Elephas maximus indicus: one gene and its partners. The protein of the gene in region 1 purifies or fractionates together with the protein of each later gene. This does not show direct contact. Links are inferred from orthologs where the notes say so. Each region holds a gene or a part of one and is shown on either strand. Other genes may lie near its edges.

What was found.
Region 2: the proteins of PHLPP2 (region 1) and USP12 purify together in Homo sapiens (affinity purification with mass spectrometry; 3 studies listed by BioGRID and IntAct, with this or other methods). This does not show direct contact. The link is inferred for Elephas maximus indicus from reciprocal best matches to the Homo sapiens genes PHLPP2 and USP12.
Region 3: the proteins of PHLPP2 (region 1) and USP1 purify together in Homo sapiens (affinity purification with mass spectrometry; 3 studies listed by BioGRID and IntAct, with this or other methods). This does not show direct contact. The link is inferred for Elephas maximus indicus from reciprocal best matches to the Homo sapiens genes PHLPP2 and USP1.
Region 4: the proteins of PHLPP2 (region 1) and NHERF2 purify together in Homo sapiens (affinity purification with mass spectrometry; 3 studies listed by BioGRID and IntAct, with this or other methods). This does not show direct contact. The link is inferred for Elephas maximus indicus from reciprocal best matches to the Homo sapiens genes PHLPP2 and NHERF2.

The regions. Positions count from the first base shown.
Region 1 is NC_064839.1:38,713,985-38,720,817, reverse strand, and holds the start of PHLPP2 (PH domain leucine-rich repeat-containing protein phosphatase 2), read right to left. Parts: upstream 3,020-6,833; 5' UTR 2,965-3,019; coding exon 2,866-2,964; intron 1-2,865. UniProt on the Homo sapiens protein: Protein phosphatase involved in regulation of Akt and PKC signaling.
Region 2 is NC_064841.1:59,199,171-59,206,961, reverse strand, and holds the start of USP12 (ubiquitin carboxyl-terminal hydrolase 12), read left to right. Parts: upstream 1-4,774; 5' UTR 4,775-4,960; coding exon 4,961-5,008; intron 5,009-7,791. UniProt on the Homo sapiens protein: Deubiquitinating enzyme that plays various roles in the regulation of the immune response and inflammation.
Region 3 is NC_064821.1:107,649,162-107,656,679, forward strand, and holds the start of USP1 (ubiquitin carboxyl-terminal hydrolase 1), read left to right. Parts: upstream 1-4,514; 5' UTR 4,515-4,604; intron 4,605-6,877; 5' UTR 6,878-6,946; coding exon 6,947-7,116; intron 7,117-7,518. UniProt on the Homo sapiens protein: Negative regulator of DNA damage repair which specifically deubiquitinates monoubiquitinated FANCD2. Also involved in PCNA-mediated translesion synthesis (TLS) by deubiquitinating monoubiquitinated PCNA.
Region 4 is NC_064830.1:59,124,432-59,131,988, forward strand, and holds the start of NHERF2 (Na(+)/H(+) exchange regulatory cofactor NHE-RF2), read left to right. Parts: upstream 1-4,538; 5' UTR 4,539-4,701; coding exon 4,702-4,914; intron 4,915-7,120; coding exon 7,121-7,321; intron 7,322-7,451; exon of another isoform or gene 7,452-7,557.

The DNA of each region.
Region 1 (6,833 bases):
CCCTAAGGGAAGAGATATGTTCCTCCATTTGAAACTTTTAAAACAAGATGGGTTCATCTCTGGGAATATACATGTTAAAGAATATTTTGGAATGGGCTAAGAAGAGTTGGCTGGGATGGGGAGAGAACAATATTTCAGTACTTAAAATCTTTTTGGTATTGATTTTTTAAAACCACGCACACTTATTCTTACAAAAAATTTAAATTATTGAAAAAACAAATTTCAGGGCATTTACTGACTACCAGTAATCAGTTGTAACTTCACAGCTTCTATAGACTGAGTAAATTAAATAAAACATAATCCTAAAATCATAGGAAACATCTGGAATATTTTAAAAATTCAAAGGTACTCTTAATATTTTTAAGAGTATTAAAAATATCATACTTATACTCCAACTATAACTGTAAAAGAATACATTCTAAATAGCAATTTTCTAAATGAAATCTGGGGACAGACTGTGAATCAAATTTTCCTATACCCCACATAGATGCACCTAGATATAGTCTGACTTTAGTTATATTCGCCTTTTTATGAAGATCTACATATATAATTTGACAATAATGATGTTCACGATCTGTTAAATGTAAAAAAGTTACAAAACAGACTGAAAAGCTGTTTTCAAAGGGTCCTTAGTGAACATGTGGGAAATTATGACTTTCTTCCCAATTAGAAGTCTTCTACTTAAATATTCTTTTCCAGTTTCACTAGGCACAAAATTCAACCACTTGGTTACTGAAGGGAAATTTTGTTGTAGAACATATACCACCTATCCTCCATAAGGGGCCAATTATTTGCAAGGATTATTTAAACTGTTGACTATATGCAATAAATGAGCCCTGGTGGTACAGTGGTTAAGGCTCGGCTGCTAACCAAAAGGTCAGCTGCAGGAGAAAGATGTGGCAATCTGCTTCCTTAAAGATCACATACTGCCTTAGAAACTCTATCGGGCAGTTCCACTCTGTCCTATGGAGTTGCTATGAGTCAGAATTGACTTGACAGCAAGGGGTTTGGTCTTTTTATATGTAATAAAGTAAGGATGCAAAGGTCTTAAAGACTCTGCCTCCCACACCATCTCAGTATTGTAATTACCATCAGTTTCTGGAATCTTTCTAATGGTCCCCTGATTGGAATCTCAGGGAAGAAGGGTTAGACTGTCTTCAATAAAGGTTCTCATTTCTCAGTTCCTTCCCTCTCACAACTCACCCCATCCCCCACCCCCCAAAAAAGTTATTAAAAAAAAAAAAAGCAAGGGTGTTTACCTTCTAGGCCAGAAGGCATTGCCTATCTCTCAGACCTGCAATTTCCCGATAAGCCGAGTGAAGTTAAAAAACATTTTTTAATAGAGTTAATTCACAATTTACATTTTTGTGATTTCAGTTTTAAATAAATATCCAAAAACCTCTGGGTAATTACATTTACAACCTATGGTTATATAAATTATAATAAATATATAGAAGGGTCATGCAAAAATTGGAGATAATCTATGAAAGGTTATTACTTTAAGTCCCTGCATTAAGAGTGAGAGGTAGTGGCAGAATTTTTTTCTTTTTTAAATATTTTACAGAGTTCTAGTTTATGTTGTTTCATGGATTCATTAGATCCTTCTAATCCATCTTTGCGATGGCCTACTAATAATGTTAATAACAAGTGCATACTGCTCAAACTCAATCCCAATTAACTACTATGACTTAATGCATTTTTAACATTGTATACTTTAATTCTTTTGCAAGGTATTTTTGACACAACAAATCTTGTAAATTTTCTTTTCTCTCTTCCTTCTCCCTGGCAAGTTTCAAATCCTATCGACTTCTCTTCTAGAACTCCAGAATGAATTCCATTCCACCTCCAGAAGGACATCTAATTGACTTATTTGACATACAGAAAGTTTCTCTCCAACTATTTCAAAGGCTAGTAGAAGACTCCCCTGAGCCTACACAATCCCTCCTTCTAAGCATCTTCACTGCCCCTCCCCACCCTACATTCCATATGCACTTAAACTTCTTGTCATCACCTCCAAGGCTCCACTTGCCTGCATCTGCTTTCATTTCCTCCTACTCCCCTAATTCCTGCCAAAAAGCCCCGCTTGCTGCCTGTTGCATAACTGCTCCCCCATCACAGTCTCCCCGGATCGCTAGCCCCACTCCTGCAATCAGGAATGCCCCCTTTAGGTCCAGCCCCTCCTTCCTCCCGCAGCACGCCCAGCGATTCCCCCTAATTAAGCTCCTCCGTAGGTTTCCTCCCCAGACGAGGCGGGTCGTACTTCCTCGCCGACGTCTACAGAGCGAGGAGCCGGGTGGCAACTTCACTTGTGAACCCCGAGGGCAGAGTCTACCCGCTCCGCCCCGCGCAGCCCCGAGCACACCGCAGCGCGCGGCCAATCATCGCCGCCATCCTCCCGCTGGGGTGATGTCTTCAGGTGTCTGGGGAGAGAGCCCTGCGTGCTTCCAGCCCCGCGCTCGGGCCAGCGGCGAGGCGGCCGAGGGAGGCAGGGCCGGCCCGGGGCCCCACAGAGGCCGGTGGGCGACGGCGGCCCAGCAGACAGCCAGCGGAGGCGGGGGCCTGCGAGGCGGGGGCCTGCGAGGCGGGTGGCGCGGGGCCAGGGATGGGCAGCGCCGAGGACCGAGGCGGCCGAGGCCTGGGCGGGGGCGCGGGCGCGGGCGCGGGCGGGGGCGGGGGCGCGGGCGCGGGCGCGGGCGCCGCGCGGAGGCCTCGGCGGGGACCACTGTGGCCGCGGCCGGCTGAGGGGCGGCCGACCGCCAAGCTGACTGACTGCCGCGGGCGGGGGTGGCCAGCTGCCTCGGCCTTCGCGCCGGGCGGGGGCGGCCTCCTCCTTCCCTCACTCCCCCCTCGGCTCGCCCGCCTCACCTTCAGGACCCGAATTCCTCCCGGCCAGCGGCTCACGGGCGCTTCGGGCGGCTCCAGGGGCTCCAGCGGGCCCGCGGGCGCCGGCTCCACCTCCCCCATCAGCAGCAGAGACCACACAGGGACGCCCGGCGGGGCCGACGGCGCGCCGGGCCTCAGCGGCGCGCGCGAGCAGCGGAGGCCCCGCCCCCGTGAGCCGCGGTCCCGCCCTGACCCCGCCCCTGGTCCCGCCCCCTCCCGCAGCCCCGCCGGACCTGCGTAGCTGCGGGCCCCGGGTGGCCCCGGTGTGGCGGAGCCGCCGGCCGAGGGCTCGGCGGGCGGAGTACGGCGCCGCCGCAGGGTTGAGCCTCTGCAGCGGGCCGCGCTGGGTTTGGAGGACTGAGGCGCAGGAAGGGCTATTTACAGCTATCCCCGCCTCCTTAGTGCCTGCACCTGTCAGTTGTCACTGGACGCTGCAGTCCGCCGAGGGTGGCTCCTGTAAGTTAGCTCTCTAAAACGTTTCCTTTCTAGTTTAAAACCGGCCTGTCACCCTCACTTGCAAAGCCCTTGGAAGAACTGTTGAAAATACCTTAACGAGGCCCTTTCTCTTCCTTACTGGAGATGGCTTACGACCTTCGTCAGCAAATTCGACCCAAAATAATGTGTTCACTCATCTTCCAGCAATATCTAAATTCCCTTTCCTCCTCTTGTAGCAAAATTACCAGAAGTCTGTTCTCTCCCTCAAAGAGTAATACAGTCTGTGAGCCATTGATTATTTACAATGCTAAGTCGGAAAATCTTTAAAAGTTATCGTTTTGTTTTAGTTCCTACAGTGATGATAGTTTTGTGACCAATGGGCCAAATGTGGAATCAGCCTGATTTCAAATCTCAGCTCTATCACTTATTTGAGCTATACCCTTGTGTAAGTTACTTGATCTAAGTTTCTGGTTCTTAAGCTGTGAAATACAGATGAATATCTGCTTGATAGTTATTATGACGACTTAATGAATAATGCTTACAAAGCACTAAACATATAGTCGAAATTTATAGTAAAAAACCCAGACCCCAGCTATGAGTCGAAATCGAAATTTATAGTAGCCATTCTAATTCTGAATTTCCAAATTTAAGATTCACTAGATTTTTCAAAAAGCACTCTTCTTGTTCCTCTTAAATTTTTCTAGGATGTCTCACAGAATCCAGACTTTCTGGAGCCATGGAGGCTGGATAAACCCCCAAAACCATTGTCCTAAGATAATCTTTAAGCCAAAAATATTCCCTGGAATCTTCTTAAAACAATAGTTTAGCTTAACTAGTAAAGAATGCCTTGAGCATTATGCTCTTTTAAGACCTCTTTATATGGGATCAAATTGAAACAACAACTTGAAAGTTTAGATAGGAGCCTTATGGGGCAGTGAGTTTATGTTAACAGAGGAACAACTCAGAAAAGGAGGGTGAGAATGGTTGCACAACTTGAAGAATGCTATCAATGTCACTGAATTATACATGTAGAAACTGTTGGTGTATGCTTTGTTGTGTATATTCTCAAGAACAAAAATAAATTATAAAAAAAAATTTTTTCCTAGGATGCCTTCTGGACTTCTTAGATATTTAGACCTTCCCCTCTTACACAGGTATCCATGAATCTTCAAAGAACTTGTAAGGAATTTAACAGCAGAAAACCAATAATGTCTTGAACTTTGAATACATGGCAAAGATGGCATTACCTATTATCCGTTGCTTCACCTTGCCTAGTTCAGGCCAACCATCTAAAATATTTTAATTTTAAGCCTAATACAAGAAAGGCTGAAATCTAACAGTGCATTGTTTCCTTCTCTACTATGTGATATTTGGAGATATTTTAAATTCCAAAACAAAATTTGGCTCTTGCAAAGACTCTGACCCTGTACCAATTATTACTTCTGTAAAAGGATGGTGACTAATTTCTCTTCATTTTGAATATACCAAAATTCAAATCACCATTAAGCTTCATTTGTTTTGTCTCATTTTAATTAATTAAAATTCATCTCTGAGAGCCTGGTGAAAAGCGAAGAAAGTTCTTGTATTGTTGACTTGCTGGCTCACCACCACCACCACCACCACCCACCCCTGTCTACTGTTAACTTGCTTTCAAGAAAGCTACTCAGACTAGTCACATACCCCTCTTAGTGCTTAATTCTTCCGGCAAGAATACTGGTGTATAAGGAATAGGCACCAGTATAGACACAGAAGTAATCTGACCAAGGGGCAAAGGCAGCAGTTAGAATAAAAATGTGTTCAGAATAAATGTTTCTAAAAGCCTGTTTCTGGAGATATTGTTACATATTACCTTTTCCACATCTCATGGGCACAAATTCTTTATTGTTTGATCACCTGAAGGGAAAAGATCTTGTCCCAGGACCAGAATTTGAATTCCTGCTGGGGAATAGCACTGGTAAATGGTTGGGTTTTTTTGCTTTGACTTGTTTTCTCATTGACGGGATAGTGGGCTAAAGGATTAATTCAGAGTAATACCTCTTCCAAAAGAAAAAAAAAAAAAAGGCCACCAGCAGGATGTTTCAGGGGATGATGTATATAATGCCGCTCCCTTTAAAGGTCCCCATGATTTAAGATCCAGATTTCCAGTTCAGTAGTGACAACCAGTTGATATAGAGTTTTCTTTTCAAGTCATATATTACCATTAACATTTCATACTTTGCTGCTAAGGTCACATATTCATGTGTCTTTCAGTTCAAGGCAGTGTGCATTATGACTGCCAAGGGTTATGTAACTACAATTTCTGGAAATGGTGAACAGCTGAGACTAACCCTAAAAATAAATTCATCTGGGATTTTTTTGTGCAAAAATCCATCTGCCCTCACTGCAGGTTCATCATTACAAAAATCAGTTTGGATCAAGCCAAGAAGCAGAGCAGTCATTAGAAGTCCTCCCTGCTCTGTGTCCTTCCTGCAGCAGCTGTGCGCTCTCATCATCTCAGGACACACACACACACACACACACACACACACACACACCTACCCACCCCAGAGCTTTTCCTAATCTTCACTGCAAAATGGGAAGAAAATCTGGAAAAAGAAAGTTCTTGTCTTTCTTGTCTATCAGATTCTGGTAGAGAAGCCATATGATACTACAATCACTTAGCTGTATCTAGCTCCCACTCTTTTTATGATCACAACGTCAACTTTTGCCTGAATTCCTTATTCTACCACAGGTTGAACAAATTTAGTCTTATTTTAGTTCAGACAAACAGGCAGCGTTTACCTGGCTTCAGGGTTTGAAGAAAATTTACCCTATGAACATTTCTGTATTTTTCAAAAATAGGGACAACTGAACTGTGGAAAACTATGGAATAGAAATGAATTCGGCTTTTCAGGGCTGAGGTTCAAATCTAAATATTGTTCATTGCATTGCTGAGTAAATTTCTGGAGTCCATTACTGGCTAGGCTTTTCTACTGTAGCTTTTGTATTTTCATCTAATTACATGTAGATGAAGGTATTAAGTTTAATATTAAAAACAAGGATGAATTTAAACCATATAAAAGGAAAGACTATAGAAATATTGCTTATCAAATAGTTCCAAAGGGCACTTCTGCACAAACTAGGTAATTGCCAAGGCCTACGCCCTTCCCCTTCCCAATCAAGGGAATCAGAATAATAGACTCATCAGAGTAATAGAAAATCTGAAGCTTCCAACCTCCAACCACTCTCACTTCTACAGAAAAGAGTTCATATAAAATAGACCATAAAATAAAAACTCATTTTGGCTGATCCGGCCCTCCTCTTCCTGGTCACAAATAAACCTGAATAATTCACAAATAGAAACATACGATTAAAACCCATGACCACCCCTAATACACATTTCACCTTTTTTTTTTTTTTGCCTTGAGAATTCACATATGTGGAGAAGATGAGCATGTAATTAATCATGTTATGGTTGAAATTTCCAACTGAACTTAAGACTTTTTCATTACTAATACCTAGTAGTTTTAAAATTG
Region 2 (7,791 bases), on another chromosome or scaffold:
CAGTGGGTCCCCAAGGAGTCTCAACCCCACCCTGCTGGGTTCCATCAAGTTGGTTCCAACTCACAGTGACCCTACGTGACAGAGTAGAACAATCCCATGGGGTTTCCTTGGATGTAATCTTTACAGAAGTAGATCACCAGATCTTTTTCCTGGGAAGTTACTGGGTGGATTTTGAACCAACAACCTTTCAGTTAGCGGCTGAATGCTTAACCATTGTGCCACCAGGGCTCCTTCAACCGTACCCTGCCAGAATTGAAACGAGGTACTTTTGCAAGAGCGGCTATAGCGGAGTCAATACAATATAGCCTCTGCAGCTGGGTTTGAATCCTAGTCCCATCACTTGCTAAATTTGCAAGCTTGGAAATATTCTCTCTGTGCCTTGGTTTTCTCATCTATAACATGGGGATAATAATAGTATCTACTTCCTTGGGTTATTTGAGGAGTCAGGAGTTAATACACATAAAGTGCTTAGTGGCACAGATAAGGTCTCAATAAGTGCCAACTCATTAGGGATGCCTTCTGTTCTTGACAGGTGCTGTAGAGTCAATTCCGACTCCTGGTGACCCCATGTGACAGAGTAGAACTGCTCCACAGGGTTTCCTAGACTGTAATCTTTACAGAAGCAGATTGCCAGGCCTTTTTCCCACTGAGCTGCCGGTGGGTTCGAATTGTAGACCTAAGCAGCCTAGTGCTTAACTGTTGTGCCACTAGGGCTCTTTTATGGATGTTTCACATCCCCCTTGTACCCCCCTTCCCACCATCATCACAGGTAAAAGGAGAGGTGGCAGAAATGTATGAAGTAGCCCGTGGCAAGCTGGAGACAAGACGAGTAAAGGAAAATAAGGAGTTTGTGAGGAACTGGGAAGTGCATGATTTTGTAAAGGTATTTCAAACAAAAACTTGTTAAATACACTGTGCTGACCACCCAGATTAAGCTTAGCCCTAGTCTGTTCACGTGCTGGGTCCCTGAAGGCTTTGGCATATTTTATAGTTTACACATTCTGGCAGGCTTGCTGGTCAGTCACACACATCCGCCTTAGGCAAAAGGGGGCTCTTTGTAAAGTTGATACAGTTGCCCGTAAAAACTGTGTTCCACCAACTGCTCTGACAGGTATCACAATAGAGGGTTCTGGACAGAGCAGGAGACAAATGTAGAACAAAATCCAAATTCACAAAAATATGCCAGACCAGACTGACAGAGCCTGGTGGACACCCCGAGAATATGGCCCCTGGACACCCCGTTAACTCAGAACTGAAGCCACTCCTGAAGTCCACCTTTCAGCCTAGGATTAGACAGGTCTATAAAACAAAAACAAAAAAAAAATTTTTTTTTTTTTTTTTATAAAACAAACAACATGCCTGAGGAACATGCTTCTTAGCCCTAAAGCATAATAAAATTAAAAAACGAAATTGCCAAATCTAAAAAAAAAAAAAACACAAAAAACCCTGAGTTCTAGGCCCAGATTAAGTGTCCTGATTGCGCAGATGGTTAACACTTGGCTGCTAACCAAAAGGTTGGTGGTTTGAACCCACCCAGTGGCTCTGCAGGAGAAAGGCCTCGTGATGTGCTTCCATATAGATTGTTGTTGTTGTTAGGTGCCATCGATGTGAGGTGCCGTTGAGTGGGTTTCGACACATAGCGACCCTATGTACAACAGAGTAAAACGATGCCTGGTCCTGCCATCCTCACAATCATTTCATTGCTGCGTTCAAGCCCATTGTTGCTGCCATTGTGTCAATTCATCTTGTTGAGGGTCCACCACCATCAGTCAGTGTGTTGTATAGTGGTGGCTTGTGTGTTGCTTGGATGCTGGAAGCTATGCCACCGGTATTTCAAATACCAGCAGGTGCACCCATGGTGGACAGGTTTCATTGGAGCTTCTAGACTAAGACAGACTAGGAAGAAGGATCTGGCGATTTAACTTCTGAAAAAAAAATTAGCCAGTGGAAACCTTATGGATAGTATAGATCACAACCTAGAAAACCCTATGGGGCAGTTCTACTCTGTCACATGAAGTTGGTATGAGTCGAAATCGACCCAATGGCACCCAACAACAACGGTGTGTGCCAAGTGTGGAGTTTCAGCCAAATCTTATCCTCAACTGCATTATAGATAGTGAAAACCACCCTGTACAGCACCTGGCAAATAGTAGGATCTCTCCGTTTGTGCCTCTCCACTCAACCTTAGGCTAGGAGACAGGTCATTGTGAGGTTCTGCAGTCAGGGTCTATGACATCACTTGCACATTTAGATGGATGTAACACCTACTAGGCATGCCTCCAGATGATTCTATCAGAAGTCAATTTAAAAAAGGCCTGTTTTCATATAAACTTATGTATAAAGTTGGACCAAGGAGGCCTCCATTCTTGTCACATTTTAGGATTTACAGGCAACTAAGCACGTGGGTGGGCAGCATAGATGGAGGCGTGGCTAAGCCTCTGGCACATTAGATCTGCTCCCTGGAACAGAAGGAGTCCCTGGGTGGTACACATGGTTAAAACCGTTAACGTGCTTAGCTGCTAACCTGAAAAGCTGGTGGTTTGAACCCACCCAGAGGCACCTTATAGGAGCTTTGGTGCAAAGTGGTTAAGCGCTTGGTTGCTAAGCAAAAAGTTGGTGGTTGGAACCTACCAGCTGCTCCACGGGACAAAGATGTGGCAGTCTGCTTTTGTAAATATTATAGCCTTGGAAACCCTATGGGGCAGTTCTGCTCTGTTCTACAGGGTCACTCTGAGTCGGAATCAACTTCGCAGCAGCAGGTTTAGAGACACCTTGGAAAAAAGGCCCGCTGGTCTGGTTTGAAAAAATTGGCCATTAAAAACCCTGTGGAGAATGGACACAGGAAATACAGGTTGGAAAGGAGGAGTGTGCTGTCACATTATAGGGAGAGCAACCAGGGTCACGTAACAACGTGTGTATAAATTTTTGTATGAGAAACTAACTGAACTGTAAACTTTCATTTAAAACACAATAAAAACAAAACAAAAAAATCCTGTGGCATGCGGTTCTATTCAACACACATGGGTTTGCCATGAGTCGGAGTCAAGTCGACAGTAAGTTTCTTTTTCCTGGAAGAGAACACAAAGTAGAAAGGATAGGATGCCATGGGCATTTATTAAGATGGGCAAGACGAACAGGCTCCAGAGGCATGGCAACGTCAAAGGGGCCCACGCAAGCCCCTGGGATTTAAGGAGTTTTTAGTCCTTGTACAAACGGGGTGGAACACAGTGAAGAATTCAGATGGGTTGTCAGGAGGCTAGCAGGAAAATAGAGACTATGGCAATTAGTTTTAAATTGGTGAATGATCTCTCACGGCTGGCGATGGAAACTGCAGTGGGCTATGGAAACTGCTCATTAGCGCCTCTCCTCAAGCGATGCCCAGTCATGCACCCTACCTGCCATGCCTTAGGTACCCCTCTGGAACAGAGCCCTACCTAAGCTCTGGCTTGGGTGTCAGCAAAGAGGAAGGGCCCCAGCTTCCATGGAGGCAGGCACCTGGAGAACCAGGCTGGTTACTATGGGACTTGGCTATATTCAAACCGAAAAATATTCCCCCAAACAAGCTTATAACGGAAATCCCTATGGAAACTGCATTTGTGTAGCAAATGTATCTTTTTCAACTAAATGTTGTTTGGCTGCTTTATTTGCTTTTTGAATACTTTTAACCTGTGATGTAAGGAATACCTGATTTTAGAGCTTTGTCTAAATTCAGTCCCTCTGCCCCACTGAAAAGGGGGAATCCCCCAGGAAAGCACCCCAGCACTCTAGTTTGCCAACCGAAAAACACCACCAGCTTCCTAATATAATAAAGTTATTCTACTCATTTGAACTGCTTTCTGAAATAGGAAGAAGTAAAGCTGAGCTGCCTGACATGAAAAGCAGGGTGCAAGTATGAATTTTGTAAAAATAGAAAAGAGGAAATATCCCACCCTCACAGGACATTTTTCTCACTTGCTGGCCTTACTGCATCATTCTCGCTGCTGGGTTGAGATCTTTCTTTTTTTGCAGTTCCTGTTGTCTAGAACAAATATATTTAGATACTGTATTTATAAACATATCTAAATTCAAGGCTAACGGGAGCCAGGAAGGCAGGCCCTCCCTTCCTCCCCTTTATCTTTTAGTTCAAAGAGCTAGACATAATTTCTCCTTTGCCACTTTCATTTTTGTCTTTCTCTGAGTTATGGGCTGAGGCAACGCGTTCGGGTTTTTTTTGGTTTGACCCAGGTAAATACCCAATATATGTTTTAAAAAAAAAAAACAACCCTTACATTTTGGAAAGTGCTCTGGAGGGTTCATCACCCGGGCTATCCTTACAGAAGCGGGTTTCCCCTCTTCCCACTCTGAGTCACCCAGATAAGCGCCCTGCTCTTCGGTTTCGGGGGCCGGGACGGGCCGCGGTCCTCCCCCTGCAGGGCTTACCCCAGGACCCGCGCCTCGCGCGGCCGGCGCCGGTCTCTAGGACCGCGGGGAGGCGGGGCGGAGTGCGGCGAGGCCCAGACCCCGCCCAGCCCAGGCGCGGGGTGGGGCCGGGCCGGACTTCGCCGCTCGCTCACTCGCTCTGCGGGGTGGGGGCGGGGGCAGGCGGGCAGTGGGCGGGGAGAGCGCGGCGCCGCGGGGGCCGCGCAGCGGAGCAGCCGGGCACTAGGGCCTCGGCGGAGCCGCTCCCGGGAGGGCTGGGCGGGGTGCGCGGCGGGGGCGGCGGCTTCGCGGGCAGGCGCGGGCCCCGAAGCAGCGGCTGCGCCCTGCGCCGGGGAGGAGCCGGGGGCGGGCGGGCGGCCGGCGGCGGGGGCCGGAGCCCGAGGCCGGGAGTGCCTGAGCGCCGGCGGCGGCAGCGGCAGCACAGGCTCGGTCCGTCAGGCCGCGCGGCTCGGGGTCCGCCCGGGGCTGCGGCGAGAGCGGGCGCCCGGCTCCCTCCCCCGCCCGCCGCCGCTGTGATTGGGTGGAAGATGGCGCTGGGCGGATGGAAATCCTAATGACAGTCTCCAAATTCGCCTCCATCTGTACCATGGTAGGTGCGGCGGGCGGCGGCGGCGGCTGCGGGGCCTAGCGCGCTCCTCGCGGCCGGCCGGGCGGGCGGTTGGCCCGGGCGCGGGGGAGGGGAGGCGGCGCCGGCGCGGCGAGCGCGGCTGCGGGCGGCCGATTAGGGCTGCGGCGGCCGCGGGGCGATTAGCGCCGGACGTGGCGAGTGGGCGGGCTCCGGGCTGCTTCCCGCGGGGCGGGCGCGGGGCGAGGGCAGGGGGGCGCGGGCTGGGCGCTGCGGCCGTGCGGCGCGGGCTGGGCCGGTGCGAGGGGCGCCGAGCGCGCGGCCCCATTTTAGGCTGGCCGGGCGCCGTGCGGGGTGGTGTCCCCGTGTGTGTGTGTCCCCGTGTGTGTGTGTGTCCCCGTGTGTGTGTGTGTGTGTCCCCGTGTGTGTGTCGGGGGCGGGGGGTCCCCGGCAGGCAGGCAGGCAGGCGGGCGGGCAGGAAGGGTCTTACTCCTGCCCGGGGAGAGGACGGAAGTCAAGTGCAGATTTTCTCCGCGCGCCGCGGAAGGGGGCGTCCTCCGAGCCACGTTCGGGGGAAAGGGGGTGTGTAGGAAGGTGGAAACTTTAACTAAGTGCCGTTGACGTTTTTTCCATTTTCTACTCTTTCCGAGGAATGAGCTCTCCCGTTCCCAGCCATGTGTCCAGGTGGCAGTCTTGTCTCTGGGAATCCACACGAATCTTGAAGAGCAGCATTTCCTTTCCTGTCATTTGTTTACTTTAATACACCAAACATCTGTGTGTGACTTGAAGTGTTTCTGTGCAGAGAAGGGCTGCAAGGGTTGTTGCGATTGTTTTCTCAGGGCTTTTAGGTGGATTGAAAGGGAAGGGTGTTAATGCCCGTTGAAAGTCCAGAATGAAGCAGAATGTGGTTGTGTTTAAAACTTGGTGTTTCTGTGCTTGGCCGAAAGGACTACAAGTGGTGTGCAAAATGGCACAGAATTTGCTTGGTTAGCTCCCTAGGAACTGACGTCTAGGGATCATAGTTATGAGTCATTCCCCCCAAAAGTTATTCATTGCAACGTGGGCCTTTCCTTCTGTTTCACGTCTCACTAGCCATTTGTATGCATCTGATTGTGCTTAGAGATCCCCAGGCCACTTTGTATCTGAGGTGGTTAATTTTATATATCTTTAAAGAGTGGAGAATCACATAGGAGAGGTGCTTTAAAAGCAGTCTACACTGCACGCTGAGAAACAGTATTAAAAAAAATGACTGAAATCATAATGTGTATTTGGGTAGCATCTGACCTCATATACATTCGTGCCCTGTAAGGTTATAATTGAGTTCAGAAATCCCGAGTTTGGAGAACCGTGCATAGCAGACGGGACAGCTTCCCACTGGCAACATGTGTATCTCATGCCTCTTGGAGTCAAGGCAACTGTGCTGCCAGATGTATAACGGTACAGAACATATATAACCTGTGCTACATGTGTCTTGATAGTCACAATAAACACCCATGCTACTGGCCTATGTGTGTACTGTACTATAGTTTTTATTGTTATTTTAACGTGAACTTTCCCTGCTTACAAATAGAAAGTTTACTGTGTAATAGTGCACACTTCGAATGGTAGGCAGCAGCTTCCAGTCTCCTGTATCGCGCGTCCCCTGAGTGTTGTAGGGTTATCTCTCTTTAGTTTTGAAAACATTATCAGGAAGTGCATCATGGCTCCCAAATGCAGCAAAAGCAATGCTGGTGATAGCAGCAAGAGGCAAAGGAGGACTGTCGATTTGGAAGTGAGACAAAAGGTTGTTAAACAACACCAAGGTGGAAAATCATCAAATGCTATTTCTTGAGAGTTAGGCATGTTTGCACAACGTCCGAAACCCCTAGCGTATTTCACAGAATATATTGTTGATACTAAGCAGCACGTGACAGGGAAGAATGAATCATCGAAGGATCCATTTCCCCAGTTGGATATTTGTTCTTTCTAACAGTGTACATTTTAGAAGAGCATTAGTATTAAAGGGACTGTACCGACATGGTTTTAGAGGATTGTTTGGACCAATTATTTCTAGATATGCTAATTATCTTTTTCTGTTGCAAAAGGACTGTGATAATGAAGTGTTTTAAAGAGAGAAGCTTGCCAAATTGCTGAGCTGCACACATGGTCAGGTCATAGTTCATTGTCAGAGTCTAGTGTTTCCGGAACTTGAGTGATATGTTAGTCTTTACTAATCATTCTTTCATTCACCTACTCAGGTATATATTTAGCATCTATGATTCGGAAATGGGTTTTGGTTAAGTGCAAGAAAAGAAGTCCTGGTGGCACAGTGGTTAAGTGCTAGGCTGCTAACTGAAAGGTTTGCGGTTTGAACCCCCCAGCTGCTCTGCAAGAGAAAGATGTGGCAGTCTGCTTCCATAAAGATTACAGTCTTGGAAAGCCCATGGGGGGCAGCTCTGCTCTGTCCTGTGACAGGTTGCTATGAGTCAGAATTGACACGACAGCAATGGCTGGAGTGCAAGAGGCTTTGGTGAGTGTTGAGGATACAGCAGTACAGCAATGATCAAGGCAAATCCTTCTTTCCTGGTGTTTATATTCTAGTTGAGGGAGGCAGACAGCATTTAAATAAACATCTTGCTAAGTGTGTGCTGTAATCAGATTAGGGCAGGAGGGCACAGAGAGATTTGCCAGGGTGGCACAGAGAGTAAAGCTCCTTCTGGGGCTCCCACCCAGGTGCATTGGTTGCACGTGTGGTGTGTGTGTATTGGCAGATATAGAAATGGCAGTGCCTGGCCAAATGTAGTTTCAAAAGTAGTATTAAAAAGTAG
Region 3 (7,518 bases), on another chromosome or scaffold:
ACAGTATTTGCAGTCATTTCATATCCATGTGAAAGCTGAAATTAAAAAGGAAGACAGAAGAATTGGTGCAGTGGAATTGTGGTGCCGGCGAAGAATACTGAATATACAATGGATTGCCAGAAGAACGAACAAAGCAGTGTTGGACAAAGTGCAGCCAGAATGCTCCTTAGAAGCAAGGAAGCTGCGACTTCATCCTGCTTTGGATATATCATCAGGAAGGACCAATAACTAAAGAAGGACATCATGCTTGATAAAGTAGAAGCTCAGTGAAAAAGAAGATTCTCAATGAGATGGACTGACACAGTGGTTGTAAGAATGGGCTCAAACATAGCAATGATTGTGCAGATGCTGCAGAACTGGACAGTGTTCCATTCTGTTATACATAAGGCCACTATGAGTCAGGGCCAACTTAATGGCACCTAACAACAACAAAGCAAGAACTTTGTGGTTTTTTCTACCTACAACTGAATGAAAGCAAAAAGGATCAGAAGTATACTGAGTTTTCAGATGAATTGTATTGCCGGAGATACACCAAACTTGATTTGCATCCCTGGGTTTCTGCTGTTGCTGCCCACAAGCACAGTTACGGACATGTTTGGTTTTTCTGAAGCAGCATTAGCTGAAGTCAGTGTCTAATCACTAGTTCTGCAAACCTTGATACGCAGAACCTAGGACATGTATTATCCTAGTGCAGATCATAGCAGGCACAGGGTGGTTCTGGAATGGGCAGCTTGAGTACCTTTCTGATGGTAGTGATTTCCTAGGCATGGAAGTTGCAATGTGGTCCAGAAGCCACCATTTCCTGATTATAGAAGTCATAACTCCCTTAGTGGTCTGATTCTGCAAAGATTCTGAAAAACTAACCTAGAGTCTATTTCATCAGCATTCTCAAGGACTCAATAAGCTCCCTGCTTATACTACCTGGAATGGATTCTACTCTCTGCAACTTAATCTTGATACTATAAACTGTACCAGAAGAGTAGAGGGTGCAGACAATAGGATCCCAAGGAAACTGGAAAGGAGTACGTACTGGTTTGAAACCCTGGTAGCATAGTGGTTAAGAGCTACGTCTGCTAACCAAAAGGTCGCCAGTTTGAATCCACCAGGCACTCCCTGGAAACCGTGTGGGGCAATTCTACTCTGTCCTATAGGGTCGACAATGAGTCAGAATCGACTCGACGGCAACAGGTTTTTTTTTTGGTATGTATCAGTTATCTGTCCTCATACAGTTAGAAAGTAGCAATCATTCTGCTAGTGCTAGAAAGAATGAGGCACTGTCAAATTAGGCAATGGCAAATTAGGTGAGACTGACTTATATTTTCTAATTCTGTCCTTTTCTATGCTGGCCTCAAGAAATTTTGGGGTGCTTTCTTTTTCTGTACTCATATAAGAATTATAAGTTCCTTGAAGGTATCTCGTTTTGGACCTATTTTACCAACTGATGGTAGCACAGGCAGTTTAGAGATCACTATGTGATATCATAGTGTTCTTTTAGAGTTACAAACTCAACGATTAGTAGCTTTGTAAGTCTTACCCCTGAAATGGGCATTTGGAATGAATAATGACTTTAAGGTGGGTAAATTAAGGGACTTTTATCTGGGTTTTAAGGTTCCTGGCTTGGCAAGGGGAGAGAGTCTTCAATGCCCTGCAGATTTTCTGGGATAAATAGTTATCACTCTATAGGTGATTTCTTCTAGTCTCATGGTTTTAAATACCACTTGGAGCCCTGGTGGTGCAGTAGTTAAGACCTATGGCTGCTAACCAAAAGGTCGGCAGTTCAAATCCACCAGCCGCTCCTTGGAAACCCTATGGGAAAGTTCTACTCGTTCTATATGGTTGCTATGAGTTGCAATCAACTTAGTGGCAACAGGTGTTTATTTTTAGTGACTCTCATATTTATATCCACTGATCTAAATTCTCCACTGAGTTCCAAACTTGGAATCTAACTGCTGACTCAACATCTCTATTTGGATGTGCAACAGGTATCTCAATCCGACTTTGTCTAACAAAGAACAATGATCCATCCCTCCCACCAAACCCACTTCTACCCCAGTGTTCCCCATTTTAGCAAGGGCCAACCACTATCCAGTTGCTCAGGCAAAAACATACAAACAACTTTACATCTTTCTTCTTTCTTGGAGACCATGCAGCAATCCATAAGCAGATCTTGTTGGCTCTACTTCAAAATACATCCTGAATCCTAACCATTTCCAACACTTTCATTGCTACCACCTTATTGAAAAACAAAAAAACAAAACCCATTGCCATCAAGTCGATATAGGAAGAGATGGCATTTTATGTATGATGGTAAATCATTAAATGGTTTTGAACTAGGGAGTGGCATGGTTTTAAAAGTGACTTGTGGTAGATAGATTGTTGAGCTTCAAGAGCTTAAGCAGGGATGTCAGACAAGAGACTATTTCAGTAGTTCAGGGACTAAATTATGGTGGCTTTTCAGGCCACCCTGCTTAGGGTCTTGAAGCTCAACAATCTGTCTACCACAAGTCACTTTTAAAACCATGCCACTCCCTAGTTCAAAACCATTTAATGATTTACCATCATACATAAAATGCCATCTCTTCCTATTTGATCAGAACCCTGTCTGCCTCACTAATCTCATTTCCTATTACCTTCTCACCTAGGCTCACTGTACTCTAAGCACCTGGGACTCTTTTCTTTCCAAAACGTGAAGCCCACTGAGCCTCACGACCTTTGTAGCTTGCTGTTCTCTACCTGGACCATAAACTCAGATTCTTCTAAAGCTCGCTCCTTCTTTAATTCATCTCTCTGTTCCAATGCCAACTCCAGACCATCCTAAGACAGTACACTATCTCTTTTTCCTATTTATATTATTTAAGAGCTCGGCTATTCGAATACACGAGCCGCTCCTTCAAAACCCTATGACGCAGTTCTGCTCTGTCCTATAAGGTTGCTGAGTCGGAATCGACTGGACCGCAACGGGTTTAGTTTTGGTTTATGTCTCCCCCTCTAGAACGTAAAGCTCCATTAGAGCAGGGAATGTATTTCATTCACCGCCGTATCCTTGACGCCTAAAAACATACTTGGTTAAATGAATTTGGACTGAAGACCTCCTGCTCTGTGAGGTCACCTCACTAGGGTAAGACTGCAAACACAGATGGAAACACAAACCAGGTGAGGCCTGTGTTGCCGCCCTTGAGCCCCTTAGCAGGGGGTCTCTCGCTGGAATCCTTAGCCGTCCCCTCACTCCCCAGTCAAAGCTTGGACTTAATATTTTCTTTCCTTGCGTGGCCGGAAAGGGGAAAAAAAGGAAAAAAATGGAGCGTGTTAAGGTAGGAAGGAGCCTCAGCTCTACACCATTCGGCTGAGCATTTATTGCTGTCCGTGGCAGCAGTTGTTTTCATTGGGATGGCCCTGGCACCAGGGGTGCGATTCCGAATAGAAAACCCTGAACGCCAGCAATAAACCAAAACTGCTCAGCCATTTTCCGAAACCAGTCGCCCGAGGACCGCTCCCGAGAGCGTGCGCATGAGAGGGGCGGGCTTACTGTAAGGGCCTCATCCGGAAAGCGCACGCTCCGTGGCGTCCCACCGTAGAGGACTAACAAAACGCAAAGCGAGGTTTAGCAGGCGGCACGGAAAGCGCGTGCGATCGGAAGCAGGGGACGCGCTTGTGTGGAAAACTCTCTGTCTAACAATGATTGGCTGGCGCCCTCTTTTTTTTTTTCTTTTTTAGAATTGGCTAGACTGCCTTCCCCCACCCCCCGGTATCCAGGTACTTCTGATTGGCTTCTCCTGGAGGTGGTACAGAGGCTTTGGTGATTGCTCATCACGGATTGGTGGATTTGAGCCCCTGGCGGCTGTTTCTCAAGGAAGGGGACCGCCCCTCTACTCTCTGTCCTGTCTCCCGACCCGTACGCTTTTCTCTCAACTTGCGCACAAATGGTTGTTGAAAAAAAAAAAAAGGGTGTGAGGCTCGAGCCCGCCAGCCAGGCCTCTAGCACCTAGCGCGCGCCCTCAGCGAGGACCCGCGCGAGCTGCCCTGTACTGTGCCTGCGCTGTTTGAAATTGCAGAACCCGTTAGGAGCTGGGGGAAACTACCGTTCCAGCTGACTCCGGAGCTCGTGCATGCGAGGGGGCCGAGTGGCGGTCGCGGGGCGGCTCTTGCCTTTGGCGTCTGTGCAGCTTGGAGACTAGGACCGGCATTTTCGAAAGACGCCGCCTTCAATAGCAGCGCTGGCGCGGGCGGAGGCTAAAACCCGGGGGTCCTGAGAGTGAGGAAAACGCGCCAAGTTCCCCTCGGTGGTGGAGTAGGAAAGACCCTAGCGGCTCAGGAGCGTCGGGAGCGGGGCCGCTTCTTCTTGCGCCCTTTCTATCCCGGGGCGGCCGCAGGCGGCCGCCGCTCCGGGAATGTAATTGGTGTCGGCGTAAAGCAGGACCAAGTGGCGGCCCGGGTTCCCGCTCTTGAGAGTGGATGGTCACTCCCCCGCGGGAGGGCGATCCGACCAGCTTTTTCTTGGGTCGGGGACCCGGGCTCCGAGCTGGAACTCACCTGTCGCGCCCACACCCATCCCGTCTGAACTCGCCGGCGTCACCGTCGCGGACCTCGCTTTGAGCCATGACCAGGTACGGAGGGCCTGGGGAAGGAGGGGCCGGTGCCCGGGTATGGAGGCAAGTTCGGCCGGCGCCTGAGTGGGGCCGTTCTGGGACCCGGGCGTCGTCGCTGCTTGGAAGACTCCAGGGACCATTTTGCTCCCTCGTCCTTGCTCGGGGTGCCAACCCGAGCCTTCTGTGAGGGCTGCCCCCTCCTGCAGCTCCTGGGAACTCGAGAAGGCAGGTTCGGGCTGGGCGTAAACAGGCCAGCTCCACGGGCTAAGGGGCCGTTTTCAAGTGAGCGGTGGCGGCGCCCCACAACGCCAGCGGCCAGCGTCCCACCTTGCCCAGCGCTGTGTCTGAAGGGCACGGACATCAGTTAACACGATATCATGTCAACTTTTGAGTCTCTTTTCTGTTCCATGGAGTGGTGATAGTAGGGAGAAGAGATGTTTTCACTCGAGTACTATGTAACTGCTAAATTTTACCGTGCAATTTTTGACACTAGAAACTTTAAACTCTTTAGAACGCCACTGAAGTCTTTGCGGAGGGTGTTATCCTTAGTTGTTTCACATTTTTCTTGAAAAACAAGAGTTGAGTCCTGTGATCTTCTGAAGGAAAGAACAAAACTTAGTGGTACTTTGTGTTCACCCTCTTGTTCAAGAACATTCAGTGTTCGATTTATTGTGTTCTCTGCAAAACTGGATTTACAGTTTTGCGAGAAACATTTTTGATGTTACAACCCAGTTACAAGGAGAGCCAGAAGGATACTATATGGCACCTGGTAAAATGTTACATTCTTGCTAATCTTAGTGACTTGATCATTGCTTCGAGGGAGGGTTGTTGGTTTATTGATTCGGACGACGATCCCGTGTATCAGGTGCTTCATCATTGTTTCCATCTGTTAAAGTCAGAGTATCCTATCACAGAGAATGCAGTTTCTACTCGTTAGAACTGGTTTTCAAGAAAAGTCTTTGAAGAATTGTTAATGCTTAGAAATCCCAGTGTGGTGCAGGTTATGGTTTATCTTCATAAGCATATGAATTTCATCACTAGCATTAAGCGGCCAGGAGAGTAAGTTGAGCTGGAGACGGGATGGAGAAGAAATTGGTCAACTTTCCAGTTCTTCCTGAGTTGTCTCCAAAATGTAGTTTCACTGCCGAGGTTCAGTGCTGAGAATTCCCAGATCAGAGTTAGCTGAGTGAAACGCTTATTAAGGGTGGAATTTGAGTGAATTTTTTCTAGTGCATCATACAGAGGTAGTCACATTTGAAACTTATTGCTGAGGTTTGGAGCTTTAAGTAATTTTCTGGTAATACTCCTGTTAGATCATTTTCCCCCAGATGTCATAGTGAATGATAACAAACCTGTTGCAGCCAAGTCCATACCGACTCATAGGGACCCTATAGACTGATATATAAAAGAGCTACAATGTGGACATATTTTTTCATTGAACAGTTTTGCTTTAAAAGAGTAGAAATGCTTGCCAGAGTCAAACCAAATCATCTTTTTTTTCCTACTCAAAGCAGTTTTTAAAAATCTATAGTTTAAAAAAAAATTGCCTTGAAAGTGAGTAGAATATTGTGGTGTCTAGAGCATGAGAATTTGATAACTATACACAAAGTGCAACGATTTTTTACACCATCCCAACTTTGCATATGTTTTATTACCTTCACTCAGGGTTTTAGATATAACTGAATGCAAAATCTATGCCTTTTTATGCATATTATACTTTAAATATTTTATAGATTTTATTTTGCATATTTATATTAATAACTAGAAAAGGCCTTGGGAGGGAAGACTTACTCATGTCCAGCACTACTGTGATTTCCCAGTCATTCCTCTCCATAGGCCACTTCTTACTTTAGAACTAGAGATGCTAATTGCTCAATTTTTTTTTGAATTAATAAATTACAATGATGAAAAATTAAATTTTTACTCCTTACTACTATATTTTTCCATAAAGTGGGATATTTTGAGATATGACCCTTAATCTAATAGCACACTGATACAGGTTCAGTATCAGATATCTTTCATTGTTTAAGAAAGTTAAGGACTAATAGCACACTGATACAGGTTCAGTATCAGATATCTTTCATTGTTTAAGAAAGTTAAGGACAGTGTCGCAAGCTCCTTCATTAATAATGCAGCATATATTGAGTGCCTATTACTGCCAGGAGTTAGTTTTTAAGTTTGAAGTTCTAATTAGTACCGTTCCTGTAGTAAATTTGTTTTCAGAGTTCATGGTTTTGTTGCCTACAACTGATAACTAAATACTAATGAAACTTTTTTTCTATGAATAACAGATATAACTGGTGATTACACCTTGCCTCTATAAATTAATTCTTGTCAACAACTTGGGATTTGAAGAGAAAATGCCTGGTGTCATACCTAGTGAAAACAATGGGCTTTCAAGAGGTAGTCCATCAAAGAAAAACAGACTTTCCTTGAAGTTTTTTCAGAAAAAGGAAACTAAGAGAGCATTGGATTTCACAGAGTCTCAAGAAAATGAAGAGAAAGTTTCTGAGTATAATGGAACTGAAATGTATGTATCATATTTTAAATATATTTCTGTACTTCTTTTATTCCTCATTGGTGAAGCAGAGAACTGGGGTTGACATGTCCAGACATTCTAACTTGATACATAGAGGCAAAAAAAAAGTCCACATTAGTGAGACAAGTCTAACAGTGTATAGTAGGCACAGAATCAAACTGCTGGTTCCTAAGGGATCACCTCCATAGTGTTAACTCATTTGCATTGTGTTCAACCACTTAGACTAACTTGGAAAAATATTTGTTGACTAAAATTATTTTTCAGAGTTTAAACATGTTATTTGTAGTGCAGCACATTTGTGAAAAGGTAAAAAATTAGCTGGTTTTTTGGTTTAGAAGACTTGAAAGTTATCTGAGATTTTTAACCTTTGTAGACATGTCCAGTATATGAATT
Region 4 (7,557 bases), on another chromosome or scaffold:
CTAACCCCGGAGGAGTCGATGCAGCTGCTAGAGCGCGCAGCTGTGCCCAGGGCAGTCGTCTCGTCAATAAACCCCGCCTGGTTTCCGCGCCCCTGCGTGTGACCATTTTTCTCCGCGCTGTGAACTTTGTCATCTAGGTCTGGGGCAGAAGCAGCCGCTCCCACGCCCTGGCAAATGTCAGAAGCCCCTTCTCTGGCTGCAGGAAGCCCCAACCACCCAGCGGCCGAGATCCACATATCCTGAGGGGGGGCAAGGGAGGGGCAGGGACGCTGCCGGAAACTGGGCTCCTTCTTCTGCCAGTGCTGCTTCCTGTTCAGGGGTTGGGGTCCCCAGGCCAGGTGCCAGGGTATCCGGGGGAGAGTTGGCCCCACGTGGAGAGGAGCAAGACAGACCCTGGGCCCTACTGCCATCCACTGAGGTGTACCGGAGGAGAAGGTGGGAACTCATACCGCTGAGCCGGACCCCCTCACCCACAGCTCCCAGCTGCCTTACAGCTCCGACCTCAAGCCCAGGCAGCCCAACCAGACTTTCCTGCTCTCTCCTGCGTTCATTTCATAGCTGGCTCTCTATGCCTCCCCTCCACCCCCCGCGACCCGCTCTCCTCATTCACTATGGTTTCCTCCTTCGCGACCCCTCCCCCCCCGGTTCGTATATCCTCCTGAATTGTCTCCTCCCCCCACAGGGTTTCAGCTCCAGCCTGCCTCAAGCGTCTGGGCCCCTCCCCCCCTCCTCCCTCTTTAACCGTCTTAAATCTGGCTTCTGACTCCACCCAACTGTCCTGGACCTCGAACTGCCCGGGTCACGGTGCCCAGATTTCAGGGGGCATTGAGGTACTCCAGCCTAGAGAGGTTGGTGCCAGGTGCAGGGGGGGCAGAGAGGATTAGGGGCCAGGCAGAGGTCCCTTTGTGCCCCATGACACCCCATATGGCCCTGAAGCCCAACTAGTCTTAGGGAGCCGGTCTCACCCCAATTTCCAGCCCTAGGACGGGACCCAGGACAGCCCTTGGACGGTGCAATCCCGCCCAGAGCCGAAAGGTGGCGCTGCGCGGTTGCTGTTCCCGGAGACGGCGGTGGGAGGGGCTAGGGGCGGGGCCAGAGCGGGTGGGCGAGGCAGGGCTACCCAGGCCACCTTGGCCGCTGGTCCCCTCTACCCTAGCGCCGCTTCTGCCTCTTTTCTGACCCTCCTCTCTGTTTGGTCCTTGCTGCATCTCCCTTTCTCTCTCTCGTCTCTGTTAATACCATCGCGTTGGCCCCGCCTGCTCCAATTTCGGGCTCTAAAAAGTGCCCCAGGGCCCGGGGTAGTCTGATGAAGGAGGCCCTAAACAAGGCTTGGTTATTCTACTGGGGCCATTAGTTCCCATCGGGGCGGCAGCGCCCTTCGGGAAGCTCTGGGGCATTTATTGGGGCGTCAAACTAATGGCTCCGCTCTCCAGCCAGGGCCCCCAACCCTCTTCAGGCAGTGACCAGGCCTCTGCCCACCCCGCAGCCACACCCGAGTCCCCACCCGGGCCTCAGGCTCCGCTCCATTGCTGGGCGGGCAGTTGCAAAAGGGATGTAGGTTCAATGCTCAGAGGAAAGTTCCCTGCCCCAGGATTGGAGGGCCTACGGTCCAGCACAGGGGCAGACTTCACTGCAGGTGGATCCTCCCAAAGCCCAGAGGAGGGAAGGGACAGAAACATGTGACAGCTTGGGCATGCAGGTGGCAGGGTGGTGTGGGTGGATGGTCAACAACAAGGTCTCTGACCACCTCTCACCTGACCCTCTTTCTGCCTGCTGCTGGCCTGGGGGGCTAGGCCACACTCTCTCACAGCCAGCAAAGTAGAGCCCACTTTCTGCAGGATCCCTGCCCCATGGCCAGATGGCGCTGACCCAGGGTCTCCCAGCCCTCTCCCTTGCCCCATGCCCTGCAACCCCAAAGAGCTGCGGCCCCTCAGCACCTGAGTTCATACTGTTCCCTTTCTCTGCTGCCACCACAGTGGACCACTGTGCCTAGGGACAGCCCCGGAGCAAGGCTGGGGGTGGCAGCCTGGGGAGGGGTGGCCCACGAGAGCCACTGGGCCACCTTTCCTCATCTTTGCTACTGGGGGACCTCCCAGCTTACTCATCTCTCCTGCACTTAGTCCTGCTTAAAAAAAAACAAAAACAAAAAACATTGCCATCGAATCAATTCCGACTCATAGGTTTCCAAGGCTGTAAATCTTTATGGAAGCAGACTGCCACTTCTTTCTCCTGAGGAGCAGCTGGTGGGTTCGGGCACTGACCTTTTGGATAGCAGCTGAGCGCTTAACCACTGCACCACCAGGGCTCCTCTTATTCGTGCTAAAAAAACAAAAACAAAAACAAACCTGTTGCTGTGGAGTCTACACCCCTTGAAATTCTTACCCTGGTTCCTCTCTTGCTGGAGGAGCCCACCACCTTTGTTCTCCACTGCCTTTGTTACTCTGATGTTGCATTTGTTACTCCCATTTGTTACTGGGTTACTTTCCTGAGTACTTTCGCAGCTTCTTTTTTCTTTGGAGCCACCTTTGCTAAGCTAGGACTTCAGTGTTCCTTTGATACTTCCTGGGTTCCTAGCCCTCTGCTGTGACCACATGCTCCTAGTTACTGTTGTGTCCAAACTCTCCTCGCTGTTCCATCCTCTGTCTTGGCGGGTGTGTGTGTAGGGTGTGGGGGGGGGTGGGGAACAGCTGAGTACTGGGCTGCAGAAGGCCAGGGAGGGCCTCAAGTCTGGGCTATGAGAGTGTGCTCCACAGAGGGGGGTTCCCCAAGCCCCCAACCCAGGTGATTAGGTGCCCCTATCTTCCCCAGCCCCTGGCTTGGGGTCCCCCAACCATCCACCTCCCCTGCCACCACTGTGGCTCTGCAGCTACAACCTGGCAAGTCCTGGGGGTCCTGGTTGCACAGGTATGGCATATGGCAGGCCTGCACCCAGCTGCACAGCCTCCCAGGGAAGCAGTGCCAGTGAGGCTGGGCCCAGAGAGGATGAGTCACAGGCAAGGTGAGGAGACACAGCCTCTGGAGAGGCAGACAGTGGCCAGCCAGGTCTGAGCCTCTAGTAGCATTAGCTGGAACTGCAGAGGAGGCGTGAGGGAGCAACTATGCAGCCTAAGTGGCTTTTAGGGGCAACAGCTGGGGTGTGGGCACCCAGGGAGTCTTGGCCCAGGATGCTGCTCAGGGGTAGGCCCTGTGCTCAGGCAGGGCCTGGAGAGCCAAGGCCGAGGGCACTGGAAGGAGGCGAGGGAGTTGCTAGGATCAGGCTGAGTCTACTACGGCTCCCCCATGGGGAACTGGCTGGGCTGGATGTGCCTGACCCCCAGGAACCAGGTATGTGCAGGGGTCAGCAGGGATGGGGAGAGACAGGCCCGGGGGGCAGAGGGTCAGCCTGGGACTCAGCTGTCTTCCTGCCTTGGAGACTGCAAAAGGGCCCCACAGTAGAGTGTGAACTCTGGAACGTCACAACCCTAGACCCAAGCTGGTCTGGGTTTCCTGACCAGTAAAATGGCCCAGCTCCTAGGGTTGTTACAGGTAAGATGCACACAGCATCTGGTCCCCAGAGAGGCAGAACAGAAGCATAAGTGATTCTCCATAATGTTTATTGTCTGTCTGGGGGAAGTGGGGCTGGGAGGGAGGCCCGCAGGGGCCAGTTCAATGTGGAACAGCCCCTGTGCATACTGACCGCAGCTGTGTCTGAAGCACAGTGCATCCCAGGCAGGAAGAGGGTGGCACAAGACCTCTCCATGGTGTTACCCTCCCCACACCTTTTCCCAGCCAGCAACTGCAAAGACATGGTCCAGGCCTGGGGCCCCTGAGATGACACCAGTGAGGGACCCCAGCAGAGGGAGGGGTCAGGGAAGGGGGTTGTTTAACTGACACACAGCACAGATAGTACACTTCCTGGGAGGGTCAGGAGTGCCCCATCCCCTGACTAGTAGGTGTGGGGAGGGCCACAGCCATGCAGCTTTTTGAGCCCCTCTGTTGGCCTCCTGGCCCACCCTGGGCTGCAGGGGGAGCAGCTCTGGGTGAGAGAAAGGTTCAGAGACAGGAGGAGCAGGCAGCAGGGCAAGTGCTGGGGGAGAGGGTGGTGGAGACGGGAAAGCCCTTGTTTTTACCCATCGGCCCCTGTGTGGGGTCCCTGGGCCTGGGGACCGACCCTCTCTATACCCACTTCACCCACTGGAGAGCCTGCTTTGGTGCCATGCGTGCAGTACCCATTGCCATCGAGTCGATTCCAACTCAAAGCAACCCTATAGGACAGAGTAGAACTACCTCATAGAGTTTCCAAGGAGCCTGGTGCAGTTGAACTGCTGACCTTTTGGTTAGCAAGCATAGCGCTCAACCACTATGCCACAGTAGGTACTCAATAAATGATCCAGGAATAGGAGGCACTGGCGCCGAGGAGGCTGCCCAGATTGAGGCTGAGACAGTGGGAGCCTCCGAGGTCTGCCGGCCCGGCAGCCCTGCCTCTCGGTCAGCGGGGACTTCGGTCGGGGGGCGGGGGCCGACGGCAGAGGGGCGGGGACGGGGCGGGCGAGGGGCGGTACCGCAGCCTGAGTCCGAGCCGGAGTCCGAGGCAACTGGAGCGAAGCAGGGCCGCCGCCGAGATCGCCGGTCCCCGCAGCCGCCTCCTCCGCGCCGCCCCCCGCGTCCCGCATTGTGGGCGGCGGGCAGTGAGCCGAGCCCCGCGTCCCAGCGCCCTCCGCCATGGCTGGGCCCGCGCCGCTGCGGCCGCGCTTGTGCCGCCTAGTGCGCGGCGAGCTGGGCTACGGCTTCCACCTGCACGGCGAGAAGGGCCGCCGCGGGCAGTTCGTGCGGCGCGTGGAGCCCGGCTCTCCAGCCGAGGCGGCCGCGCTGCGCGCCGGGGACCGCCTGATCGAGGTCAACGGCGTCAACGTGGAAGGCGAGACGCACCACCAGGTGGGTTTCCCCTGCCGGGCCCCCTTCCCGGCGCGCCCCTGCCCCGCAAGGCCGGGGCTTGGGGCCCGGAGGGGGTCGCGCAGGCCTGCAGGGCCCGGTGGTGGTGGGGGGGAGATATGGGGACGCGCCACGGAGGCAGCGCCCGCCTCCTTCCCAGCCACCCACCGAGGAAGCTTGTCCTGCACCGTGGGGTTGGGGGGGGCATCCTGGCAGGCAGGGGCCCGCACTGCGGCTCCAGCTGCTCTGGAGGCTCATTTTGGCCTCAGCGCCCACGATGAGGGATGGTGCACCTTGGGGGGGTTTGTGAATGCCCGAAAGTAGAGACCCTGGGTGTTCTTCTATGAATGTGTGTACATACGGTTGGGTGTGTGTGTGACTGTGCAGGGCCCTGTGGGGTCACCCGTGTGTGCACACATCTGCCTGTGTGTGTACCTGGTGGGGGGGGGTCACGGTAAGGGCTAGTGGGTATATGAATACACCTGTGTGTGCCTGTATCGTTGTGTATATCTATGTGCATGTGTGTGTACCCAGCTCTGTGTATGTGTGTGTACATTCTGCACATTTGGGTGTGTGTGTGACCTGGGCTTTGAGTGTATGAACTGGTCTGAATATGCGTGTGTGTGTATAAGTATGTATGTGTGTGCACTTGGTTGTGTCTGTATGTGTGTTCAAGTCTACATCTGGGTGTATGTGAGCTGGGCTGTGTGTGTCTGTGCGCATACAAGTCTGTATCTGGGGGTGTGTCTGAGCTGGGCTGTGGGTGTGAGCTGGGCTGAGTGTGTCTGTGTACATACAGGTTTACTTCTGGGTGTTTGTGAGCTGGCCAGCCCCTGGGCCCAGAGACAAACAAGTGGGTTCTTGGCTGGGCCAGGAGCTGAACTGCTTCTACCTCAGGGCCCTTTTCTGTCCATCTGTCTGCTGTCCTGACTTCCAGCCAGAGTGTCAAATGGATAAGGCTGTTTGCTGAAGGAGGGTGGGCATCAGAGGCTGGAGGGTTTGGCCTGACAAGCTGGAGGGCAGGGTAGCTAGCAGAGCTGGTGGCTGGCCTCTGTTTACCAGCTGCCACCACCCTCACCCCAAGACTGCCAGCTTATCGCAGGCCTTCCAGGGTGCTAATCTCTAAGAACACCCCCCACAGAACGAGGGACCCTTCCAACTGCCCTCCGAGGCGCAGGAGTGGGGGAGGTGCTGTGATGGTTCCCCTTTTACAGATGAAGAGACTGATGCTTGCAGGTGTGGGTGTCTCGTCCAGGTCACACAGGGAGCAGCAGGGTCTTGGGGTACCAGCAGCTCTCTAGATCATGGGGAGAAAGGAGGGAGAAGATGGGCCTGGGCCAGACCCTCCTATCTGTTGACAACATTGCCCAGCAGCTGAGGGAGAGGCCCTCCACCCTCCCCAGGACATGTGGCCTGGGTGGGGTTGTGGCCCCATTTTGTAGTGGACACTGGGCCTTCCCCCTGTGGCCACACCCTGGCGTACACACCCCATGCTGCCCACATGCCCCAGGCTCGTACACAGGCATGCACACAGGCCCACACTCAGCCACAACACCACACCTGGCCCACAGGTGGATCTGCCTCTCCCTGCATCCACCTGCCGGGGCTGATCTCTGACCAGACACCATGTGTGTGGTGTCTGAGCCTCGCCCAGATGGGAGTGGGGACCTTGTCACCTCTCTGCAGCCTTCAAGAACAGATCCAAGTTCTTGGTTTGGAGGTGAACAGAGACCTAGAGGCAGGCAGAGACTTAGATGCCCACTTTCCACAGCCAAGAAAGACAGAAATGGGCACAGATGCACCCAGACAGGGGCCCAGGAGACACCTTTTCCTCTCTCCTACCCAAACTGTGAGACAGACCCCAAGACAGATGATCGCACGCATGTGAACACACACACATGCACGTGTACATGCACACATATACAGATGTGCACCAGCTCTCACCCCCAGACTGACTCATGCAGCTGGCTGCCCCCTGCAGCCTCCTCCTGCTAGGACCCTGCGGCCCTTGCAGCCTGGGCCAAGGTGCTGGGAGTCCTGGGAGAAGAAGGGAGGGCACTGCTAGAGCTGGGGGTGGGGGGTGGGGCCACGGGCCTCTAGGTCCAGCCACCCACCCCCTCTGGCCCAGCCAGCCCTGGGTGGTCTTGCCGTCCATGTGTGGCCCCAGGGTGTTGACTGCTGACCTAGTCCCACCATCCACCTGTCCCAGGTGGTACAGAGGATCAAGGCCGTGGAGGGGCAGACGCAGCTGCTGGTGGTGGACAAGGAGACGGATGAGGAGCTGCGCCGGCGGCAGCTTACCTGCACGGAGGAGATGGCCCAGCAGGGGCTGCCACCCACCCACGACCCCTGGGAGCCGAAGCAAGACTGGGTGGCTGCAGGCAATCTGGGCTCCGAGGCTGGCGGGAAGGTATGGTGGGCTCTGCCCACAGGATTTGCCTCGGCCTCTTGTCTGCACCTCTGCTTCTGGTCACGCCTGAGGCCTCCTCCTGGGGCTTTTCAGCCTCTCAGGGCCCCTGGCTTCTTCTCCTGGTGATCTCCGTGTTGGCCACTCAGGCCCACTCTTCCTGCCCTCTGCCTGTGTTCTAAACTGGGTGAGGTCGGGGCAGCATGGCCCCTGTGTCACTGTCCCCCTGTATCACTGTC